3 linked regions of the Oryzias latipes genome follow. The protein of the gene in region 1 interacts with the protein of each later gene in a biochemical or structural test. Links are inferred from orthologs where the notes say so. Each region holds a gene or a part of one and is shown in the gene's direction. Other genes may lie near its edges.

Evidence for each region.
Region 2: the proteins of rab31 (region 1) and eea1 form a complex in vitro, tested with the Homo sapiens proteins (2 studies listed by BioGRID). The link is inferred for Oryzias latipes from reciprocal best matches to the Homo sapiens genes RAB31 and EEA1.
Region 3: the proteins of rab31 (region 1) and ocrl form a complex in vitro, tested with the Homo sapiens proteins (2 studies listed by BioGRID and IntAct, with this or other methods). The link is inferred for Oryzias latipes from reciprocal best matches to the Homo sapiens genes RAB31 and OCRL.

Annotation. Positions count from the first base shown.
Region 1 is NC_019875.2:4,811,255-4,814,976, forward strand, and holds the start of rab31 (ras-related protein Rab-31), read left to right. Parts: upstream 1-819; 5' UTR 820-997; coding exon 998-1,033; intron 1,034-1,706; coding exon 1,707-1,786; intron 1,787-3,117; coding exon 3,118-3,199; intron 3,200-3,722. UniProt on the Homo sapiens protein: The small GTPases Rab are key regulators of intracellular membrane trafficking, from the formation of transport vesicles to their fusion with membranes.
Region 2 is NC_019864.2:21,590,968-21,594,724, forward strand, and holds the start of eea1 (early endosome antigen 1), read left to right. Parts: upstream 1-1,411; 5' UTR 1,412-1,576; coding exon 1,577-1,600; intron 1,601-3,757. Other genes in the region: diphosphoinositol polyphosphate phosphohydrolase 3-beta, read left to right, coding at 155-375. UniProt on the Homo sapiens protein: Binds phospholipid vesicles containing phosphatidylinositol 3-phosphate and participates in endosomal trafficking.
Region 3 is NC_019868.2:9,863,294-9,866,118, forward strand, and holds part of ocrl (inositol polyphosphate 5-phosphatase OCRL-1), read left to right. Parts: intron 1-1,264; coding exon 1,265-1,349; intron 1,350-1,540; coding exon 1,541-1,668; intron 1,669-1,804; coding exon 1,805-1,916; intron 1,917-2,825. UniProt on the Homo sapiens protein: Catalyzes the hydrolysis of the 5-position phosphate of phosphatidylinositol 4,5-bisphosphate (PtdIns(4,5)P2) and phosphatidylinositol-3,4,5-bisphosphate (PtdIns(3,4,5)P3), with the greatest catalytic activity towards PtdIns(4,5)P2.

The DNA of each region.
Region 1 (3,722 bases):
CGCTCTGAGCTTTGGTAGCAGATTGTTACAGACAAACTAATGCTGTGAAGAATAAAGTATCATTCTTAAAACTTTTTCTCGCCCAAACGTTTTTGATCCTGAAAGTGTTTTTTCCTCATTTAGCACTTGACGTCTTGTTTCAAATCTGCTTCCTGGTTTATAAACCTGTGCATTTCTCTAAAAGAGGCTGTTGGACTCGAATGGTGAGAAAGTTAAGGACTTTCTTTTAGAAATCTAGCTTGTCAATGTTAACAAAATCCCACCAAAATAAAAGCTGTGAAATGATTAGATTTTAAAACCAAATAAACTCAACAGAAAATATGAAAACTGTTTCATTTGCAGCCTACAGTACACATATTTTTGTTGGTGTGTGTGGTTGTCATTTACTTTGATAAATGTATATGTATGATTTTACATAAAGTTGTGTGTAAATTTGTATTTATCCAGGTTGATTTCAGTTACCGTAACAGAAGGTAAGGAAGCAGACTGGATTTGGTTTCTTTTATTTAAATTGTTTCACCTTCAACTGCTTTTTTTTAACCTACTATATTTACACAAAAAGATATGTTTAATGTTCTAGTTTCTTCAAAAGCATTCATTTCTGTTACACATTTTAGTTTATGGTACTTTATACTTCAGTTTTCAGTCCTCAGATCTGTAACTAAAATTAATAAGTACCTTCGAACAAAAACTCGGCTTAGATTTAAATAAAAACTTGATGACATTTGCAGTATTGATTGAAAACCTCCAAGTGTACAGATGACCGACGTCATAAAAAGCTTTTACTTTGAAAGACGCCGCCGGAAGTTTCCCATTTGTTGCTTTTTTTTCTCTTTTTTTTCCATCAAACGGGCTTCTCCGGAGGATGGCCAGGCTGTGTCAGGGCTTGGTCGTTTTTTTTAATCTGAGAAAAGGAGATTTCGGCAGCATGGAGGAGCGAAGACACTGAATCCGCGCATTTCAACGATGATCTAACCGCTTAGTTCCAGGACCCGCCATGGCCATCCGGGAGCTCAAAGTTTGTCTTTTAGGGGTGAGTTTTTCTTTGATGATGCACTCCGGAGAAAATTCCTCTTTAGTTGGCTGCAACTTCAACTCCAAACATTAAATGCCCCTTTTGTCACTTAAGTAAATGTTTAAATGGACTTTCCCCTCACTTCTCCTTGCCTGTCGTGTTTGAAAACAGAAATACTTCAAATGTTTCTGAGGAAAACAGATTTGGGGGGGGGGGGGGGGGGGGTTCATGTAGAGCTTCGCATCGCAGGTTTTAAACAAAAATATTTCGTCCTACCTTTCAACTTTATTTAAGACGTTTTAAAAGCTTGTTTCATCGCTGACCGCAGACGTTAGAGATTTTTCTGCTGCGTTAGCAGAAAATAGGGGAGAAGAACCCCCCCCCCCCCGTGCTGTCTTTTTCTGCGTTGGTTTGATCCAGTATACTTTGTGATCTTTTATTTAAAAAGCGCCGCCATTGTGTTTTTCATAAACTAAAACGATGAACTCTGAACTTTTTCGAGCTTCGTGGCCCTTCCAGGCTCCCGTCACGCAGATGAGGACTAAGTTAACCGAACTGTCACTATGTCCCCACACACACGACCGCTGTAAACGACCTCCTGAACACACCGCATGCTGCTCCTGTCCCGATGAGATGGGGTGAAGGATGCGTGACTCATGCGGGACTGACGCGTACCCCTTTTTGGTTCCAGGACACTGGAGTCGGGAAGTCCAGCATCGTATGCCGGTTCGTTCAGGACCACTTCGATCACAACATCAGCCCGACCATCGGGTAAGTGCGGGACAAGCGTCCTGAAATGTCCACCAAACACCAACACAGAGACGGAGAACAACAACCAGGAGGCAGTGGTTTTTTCTATGGGCGGTCGCCCAGGGCGCAATCTTGTAGGGGGCGCCCCCCGCAAGAAAAAACCCACTAAAAACTTTGACAGTTTTCTATCCTGGACTAGAGCCGCCCACTTCCCCATAAAGTTAACAAAATTTGTGCTAGGGCGCCCAACTGCCGTGTCAACCTGCTGCTGTGTATTTCTTTAGCAGGTAGAGAGGCGGAGGAGGGGCTTAGACAGATGGAAAAGTCTATTCAAGGTTGTGGATTTATTCATTCATAATTGTGTCAGGGTTGTATTCAGCTCAAGAAAAAAACAACAAAAAAACAGTGGAAATGTGAACATTTTTACCAGAACCAGCCTTTAAAAATAAAATACAATCCGATGCGTGTTAAGTGTGAACTACCTTACATACTAGATCTTAATTGCGAAATCAACTACACAAATATATTTTACTCATCTGATTAATAGAGTAAAATAAACGATATATGTTGTTTTTGTGTTTGTTTGTATGCAGGCTTTGAGTCATTGAGGGCTGGGCTGCAAAGGGGGGTGAGGGTGGGGTGAGGGTGCCATCCTCCTGGCAGAGGACACTGGGATTGGAGTCCAGTCTCCTGATAGAGAAACGGGGGTTTTATATCATGCAAAATCAACGTTTTAAGCGTATTATAATGTTAATTCCTCACAAAATAAAAAAACACAACCCCAAAGTGGTGTTTTGACTCGTCTAGACATTTCTGAGTATTCCTCTACCTGCTCTCTGAGTTCCCGCCCCTTTCAGGAAGAGTCTGTGCTGCCAGTCCCGCCTCCAGGCTAACAGACACGCCCACTTTTTCAGTGGAGCTAGTGGTGATTAGCTGAATGCTTCCCCTTTCTATGCACGAGATTTACATCCATCTTTGTAAAAGTTCGGTTGTTTTCGTGGGAGAAACGCAGAGGCCGCCACTGTGATGACGTCATAACACCCACAAGCAGCAAAAGGCGGAGCCTCAGAGATCGAGGCGTCTAATTCCGGTATAAAAATGAGGTGTGAAAATAAATCGCATTTAATGAAAAAAATGTGTTCTTTAGTGTGCTAAAGGTAATATACTATCATATACCATCATATAAATGGTTACAGTTTACTCTGAAAGGCTTAAGAACAGCACGATTGTCCTCCATCATTAGAAAAATATTAGAAAAACATGTTAAAACACCAAAAAGTCCTTTTTCATTGGAGTAGGTCTTTAAATACTGGATATTTGAATGCTTGTGTAATCCGCTGAATCCTCCACAGAGCATCATTCCTGACCAAAACCGTCCCCTGTGGGAATGAGCTGCACAAGTTTCTGATCTGGGACACGGCTGGTCAGGAACGGGTGAGTTTTTGTCCTCTGCTGAGTGAGGTTTTCATGAATATTTCTTTTCTATGCTCACATTTCCAGCATGATGACAGAACTTCAGTAAAGTAGATTCAGAGGAGCTTTGAGTGCGCTATGGAGTCAAGACTACGAGTCTTTTCACAATTTTCCAAGTCGTGAGCCTGTCCCTGCTACTGCCGGGTGAAGGCAGGGCCCAACCTGGACGGTCTGTCAAAGGACCACACAAGCATACACACATGCAAACGTATAGGTGCAATTTAGAATCATCAATTACCCTATGGAGCATTTATTTGGACTTTGGGAGGAAACCAGAGAAAACCCACATATACAAGACTTTTTTTGTGTCTCTTTTTTTGTTTTTTCCGTAGGACAAACCACTACACATAAGACATTAAATCAGCAGTCTGTAATCTGGATGATAATCCTATCAGGCTCATGAATTGGCGTGTCATTAGCGTAGAATGTGAAGAGTAAACTCTCCCGACAAAAGGCTTCATGTCATGATGGTCTGAAGGCCTGT
Region 2 (3,757 bases), on another chromosome or scaffold:
AAATGTGTTTTATTCTGTTTTAGTCTTTGCAGAAGTACCTTAATGAGCATTTATTCAATGCTTTACCTCAGAGTAGCATTGTTTACTCTCACCTGTTGAGTACTGTTATCTACATTTAAACTTCTCTTTTGTCCTTCCACGAGTGCCCTCACAGGCAGGAAGAGGAAGTGGTTTAAGATTGATGAAGCCATCGAAGAGCTGCAGAGCCACAAGCCTGTCCACGCAGAGTACCTGCTGAGACTCGCAGACTCCTGTGGTCCTTTTCGTGTCTATACCCCAAGTACCGACAGCTGTCCGTGCACTCGTGTGGCAGAAAACGGTGCATCCCATTGCTTTGTTTGCTCCACACAGGGCTCTGATCTGGTCAACAGATAAGACTCACTGCAGGCAGATCCACCGAGAGGACTGTGTTGGACTTCATGGTCTGAGATGATTGCATTAACCCTGCCTTTTAAAATGTACAGAATGAATTTATATCAAATCCAAGTTGAATTGGACTAAAGAGATGTATGATTCTTTATAAATGTATTTATCAATTTCATTAAATATTTTCCAACTGCAGTTGAAGCCAAGCATCTACTTAAAATATCAGGTGGATTAACTTTGCTGTGCATATGCAATGTAAAGATATTACAAGAGAACTATATGTTGAGTTGAGCTGTCAGGGGTTTTCATAAGATTTGTACTGTATGAAGCTGGTGCCAATTTGATTTTTTTGTAGAATGTTTTGTAGAAAAATTGTGGCTTTTTCTAGTGTCATTTTGTGCTCATTTGAAGTGATGGGTAAAACCCCAGATTTCTGCTAGTAGTTAAAATTTTCTTTAATTATATGATGAAGCAGTTTTTCTGAAGAAAATCATATTTATAAAACATAAAATTATGCAGGCACCTTTTAAATGTGAATTAAAAATATCCTATTAAATAAAAACAATTCAAATTTTATAGTAAAATGACTTTGTGTTTTTCTTTCTCCACGTCTCTGTACCAGAACCAAACCTTTATTTTTACTTTGATCATCACTTTTTGAGGTAACTCTTATTTATTGCACTTTAAGTATCATTAATAAATATAATTTATACAATTTGCTGCAGGTTAAGTTATTGTTTTAAGGAGAATTATGTTCGATCTCATGGACAGGAAATGTAATTTTAAAGAAAATATTAAATAGGAAAAAAAATGATTAAAAATTCATTATGATAAAACAAGAAACCACGTTTTTATTATTGCCCTTGGCTTATATTTTTAAATAAAGCCTTTTTCCTATTCATAGTTTTTTTTTGTTTGTGACTAATCTTGTGTGCTACATCAAGTTATATGTATATATGTATACCAAAACGAAAATATTCCGTTTTATATTTAGTTGTCATTTCGTCGTGCTGCAGATCTTGACCATGTTGAAGTGAAATTCTTGCGTCCATCTCCACATGACCCGCCCATCCGCCGCTGCTGCTCAGCTCCCTGTGTCTGGTCAGGTGCTCGTCGTTCTCAGACGTAAACTTTTCATTTAAGCACCTGGATTCAGTTTGCGTCAGGACAAGCCAAGCCAAGCCAAGCCAAGCCAAGCCAAGCCAACGCCATGCTCCGACGGATACTTCAAATGGTACACTGTTAGGCTTCTCTTCGGCCGGCGTCGCTTCTGTTGTTGTCAGGAGTGCTTGGTTTAGAGACACGGGCCTATCCGTGTCTGGTTTCGTATCACGGGCGCTTGGTTGTTCATTTTGTCCTCCGTAGTCAGGCGGGGTTAAATATCTTAGTTAAAGGCTACTTAACAACGGCGTACTTTGTCGTTTCCGACAAGTCCCGGTGTGGAAATCAAGCTTCCTTTCCCTTTGGTTGACAAAACTAGCATCAAATGCTAACTTTGTTCAGTTGACAAGTGGTTCTTTTGACAAGGTCGAAATGAACAGCTGTAAATAAAATGCAGTTTACGAGCACACTGTTAAAGGGGCAACCGAGAACGTGTGTTAGTTTAAACCTCCGGTCTCCGAGACCTGTTATTTTTATGGTTTCTGTGTTAGCAGTACAGTAGCTGTGTGACAGCTCCAGGTTAATTCATCGCCAACACTGCCTTTCTTTAGCAACAAAAAAAATTCTGCGTCAATCGTAACTTGGCGATGAATTGAAAAACCACGAATATATAATAATTATGTCATGACAGAATAGGTGGTTGAAAAACTACCTGTTTGACCTGAAAAAACAAACAAACAGCTAAATAGTAAAAAAAAGCCAGACTTTTAGAGCCTCGTCGATAATGAGGGAAATTAATCATCAACGTAAATGCTTTTTTTATTTTAGTTATAATGGTTAGGCGATTGTTATACATAAAGAGCCTTTGAAGTGCAAAATAATTAACAAAATCAAAAATAAAAACTCAAATGAAATTTAAAATATTCTGTCCCTGCGGAACAGACAGAGACACGGGTTGTATTTTTTTCCACACGAACTTTTTTAAATGACGGAATGGTTGTTGGTCGTGTTTTCAATGTATTTGGGGGGGGGTTCCCACTATGAGCCAATAAGAAGATTCAAGTCTTTTCAGGAGTGCCTAAACAGGCTTATAGCTTCTTCAAATAAACATAATTTACAGCTTTAAAAAATAAAAATAAATTTTTTTCCTGCTTTGTAATAAAAACAATATTGAGCTGTAAAACATAAAAGAGGTCTTATTATGATTAAAATAATATAATGCGGTTTTTACTTTGTTAAAGTACCTCTACCTTTGGCTATTATGAAATGCAGATGTATTTCATTGGAAAATTAGCTTTTAGTATGTTCTTAGACAGTTACATATTATTTAAAAAAATATAATATATGAAATAGTTTACTAGATATTGTTGTGGTTACTATACTGAAGACTGAATCATATCTGCGCCGTTTGCTTTGTGGGGTCAAAGGTTACCCCATGACCTACACTTTGTTTGCAAGCTTTTCAATGATTAGGATCAAAAAGCCCACCATGCAGATCCACACAAACACACATTTTGACCTCATTATTCAGTCATGCAAGCCATGCCCAACCCAAACAAATTCTTCCTGTGAATGGTCTCTCTGGCACACCCACCAGCGTGTTTATGCTTCTGGTCTGTAAACTTTATAACACTTCCTTTTTAGCTGAAATCTGAACTGCAGAGTGCTTTGGTTAATGAGTGTTAGATCATGGCCTTTGAGCGATGCAGTAATGTTTTTATACATTTTGATGAATGAAGACTTTTTGTAGTTTGCAGATGGATAATCTGATGAATAAAGCTAAACATGTTCCTGAGTGTCTTGCCAGTAGGTTCCAGCCACTTGTTACCCATAATTCTTGGAAGCATTTTATTAAGGCAAAGGCTAAAATATGGTCAATGAACATTATCTGGGGTGGGAAGAACTGTGATCTGACAGTACTTTATCTGATACTGTTAGACAAGGGGAAGGTAACTGAAATGTCAACATTGTGATAAAGAGAAAAAATGTACCAATGTTACAAAAAGATCACAGAAATATAAAGATAGAGTGCAATTATCATAAATGAGATAGAGCCTGTGTGATGAGAGACTACAGCTTGTGGACCGACGATGTTACATTAGTCGCTGCTGTTGCTGAGGTGAATAAAACTCCTTTAACATCTGGGCTGCTGGGCTTTCTGTAAGTCCCCGTGTTTACAGACTCCTTTTGTAATTGCCTTCTGCAGAAGGTGCTAAAAGGGGCTGGGAGTTGGGGAGAAAATTTAGGTGGTCAGTTACAGAGAACTCTGCGTTGTTGCTGTGAGGTTACA
Region 3 (2,825 bases), on another chromosome or scaffold:
TGGGAAACCTTAAGTCAGTTTGTCTTTTTCTCTGTTTCCTTTTTAATCTCTTGTGTCTTTTACTTTGACCAATGACGTTTTTTAACAAGATCAAAGAAAAGAGCGGCTGGATTATGGGGGGTAATGTTTTCATAATTCAGGCACAGCCTTAGATACAAGCATAAAGGACTGATTTCAGAAATGATAAATTGGAGATTCAGAGTTCCCATTGTTTAGAGGGACTTTATTGAGTAGCATAAAGCAGATATGGAAGTTTATGGCCTTGAGCTTGTGAATGAGTTAAGAGGAAAAGACGGGATGTGGCAGACGGATTGCGTGGGTTTATGATGGCGATAAGAAAAAGTCTTTATGTACCAGGCTAGCAATGATTGTGCACAGTTAGATTGGAGCAACATAAATGCACTTCAAAGAGCATGATTGTTCAGTCCTGGTTTAATATATTCTTTTATATTTTTACTTTGACAACTCATTGTCATCTTAAATAACATTCTGTGGTGTTTTGTGCATCAGAAGAGATGAACACAGAGGAATAACAGGCTTAAGTAAAAGAAGAAGTAAAGTTTGTCATTTATTTGAAGGTATTTCATCAATATTAAAAATGGATCTCAATACTTTGTGATGTCATCCTGGTTGTCCGTGAGAGAGGTTAAAGGTCAACCAGGTTTGCACTGTAGCTGCTTTTTGGGTCCATTCTTCCACGTAGATCTTCTCATGAGCTGTGATGATGTGGAACTGTTGCTGGGCAACAGAGACGTTCTCCTCCCTACACAGATTCTCTGTCTGATTGAGACACTGGCCACACCTCTCCAAAACCTTGACTGACTTGCCACTCCTTCGTTGTCCGGGTGATGTGTTTGGGATCCTGTCCAGTCAAGTTTCATCTTCACTGTTCTCACTGCTTGGAACCCTGTAATGTAGACCTAATAAGGGGCAGCCGTGGTGCAAAAGTAGAGCAGTCGACCTCTTATTGGAGGATCACAGGTTTGGTTCCCGCCTTGCTCGCCCATGTGTCGGAGTGCCCTTGGGCAGGGTGCTGAACCCCACATAGCTCCTGATGGTTATAGGTTGGCGCCAGTCAGTATCACTCTGTTTATGGTCTGTATCAGAGGCACTTTGAGTACTTTTATGATGTAGTCAAATGTATTTAAGGACTTGTTCCACAAATTACAATGTATTTTTTCATATAAAATGTTTCATAGTGACAGCTGTAAGTTTTGTTGATAAACTGGTGTGGACTGCTTTAATATTGAGTGCTGTCTCACAGGAGGACTTGTTCCAGACACCAGGCTTACAAGAGGAACTCCAGCACATCATTGAGTGTCTTGACACCAGCATCCCAGACTCCATCCGTATCCTCTGCTGTGCATTCCTTAAGACTATGTTAGATATTGTGAAAGGAACTCTTCCAATTTTGCACTTAAAGTAAATAAAAACAAGACACAGAAACGGCTCATTTTAGAAACACAGTTGGATCTGCTGACTATCCCAGCTTAGACTTTGTGAAGGCTTGTTCTATCTCAGTCTTTAACTCCCTGCATAGCTGGTTGTAACCACTCTGTAGCTGAGGCTCTGCTGATCTTCCTCGAGGCCTTGCCTGAACCCGTGGTGTGTTACGAGCTCTACCAGCGGTGCTTAGAATGCGCTCACGACAGCCGCCTCTGCAAGCAGGTCAGTCACAGCGAGTCTGATGTTGACAGTAGTCAACTGTTGGCAGTTGCAGACAAAAAAAGGCTTACAGATTTCTATTATTTTATTTTTTTCTATTTGTTGTGATGATGTTTGTGTTTGCTTTGCCGTCTTCCAGCTGATCTCACTGTTGCCGCGAGCACACCGCAACGTCTTTCGCTACTTACTGGCCTTTCTGAAGGAGCTCCTCAAGCATTCACACAACAATAACCTAACAGCCTCTCTAATAGGTAAGTGTTATCCATGTAGCATTTCCCAGAGATGATCACACGTTGGTTCAGTCAACTGGTTTAGTTCTGACAATATTATCTGCTTGAAGGCCGATCTGAATGCAGAGGGCTCATTTTTTAAGGGGAGTTTGTTCTCTCATGCAGAGCTACAAGAACGAAGGTGGCTGAAAGATTTCACATTTCACAAATGGCTTCATAGTTCACACGCATTTTTTTTATCCCTTCATTGTGTTTCTTTGGATTTAAAAGAAAAATGCTAATGATTTAAATAGATATTAAATAAGCTAGTTAAACACATATTCTAATCCATGCAGCACAATAGCATGTAGCATCTGTTGTCATAATAGTAGAAGATCCCATGTTTGACTTTGTTGTCTTGCATTACTACTTCAAGTAAATCTGCTGCAGCAGGAGGATCTGATTCCACCCAGGGTGTACTTTATTTTGAAAGGATCTTGTATGTGTTGCTGTAAAAAAAAAAAAAAGTAAACAAGTTAAAGTTGTTATTTATAGAAAAATGTAACACTTTTGGAATTTAATAATTATCAATATTTAAAAGCTACATATCATAAATGAATGGCTTTATGGCCACACCAATACATATTTAGTGTCTTTTTTGGCTCTTTTGGTGTTAAAGGTTGCTGACCCCTGGTTTAGTGGACATGTTTTCTGCATTGTAACTGTAAAACACAGTGAAAATTCAACAACGTTCCAGATGGTACAGTATCGATAGCAGCAGTGTATTATGGGTGGAACAAACAGAGCAAATGTTTTTGTTTGAAGCTCAGGAAAATGAATTATTTATTCATGCTAGAGAAAAAAAAAGTTAATATTTACACCCAAGAGTTCCAGGGCAGATCACTTCATTCAGCATGCACTCAAGACACAATACACACTCTGCCCAGCTTC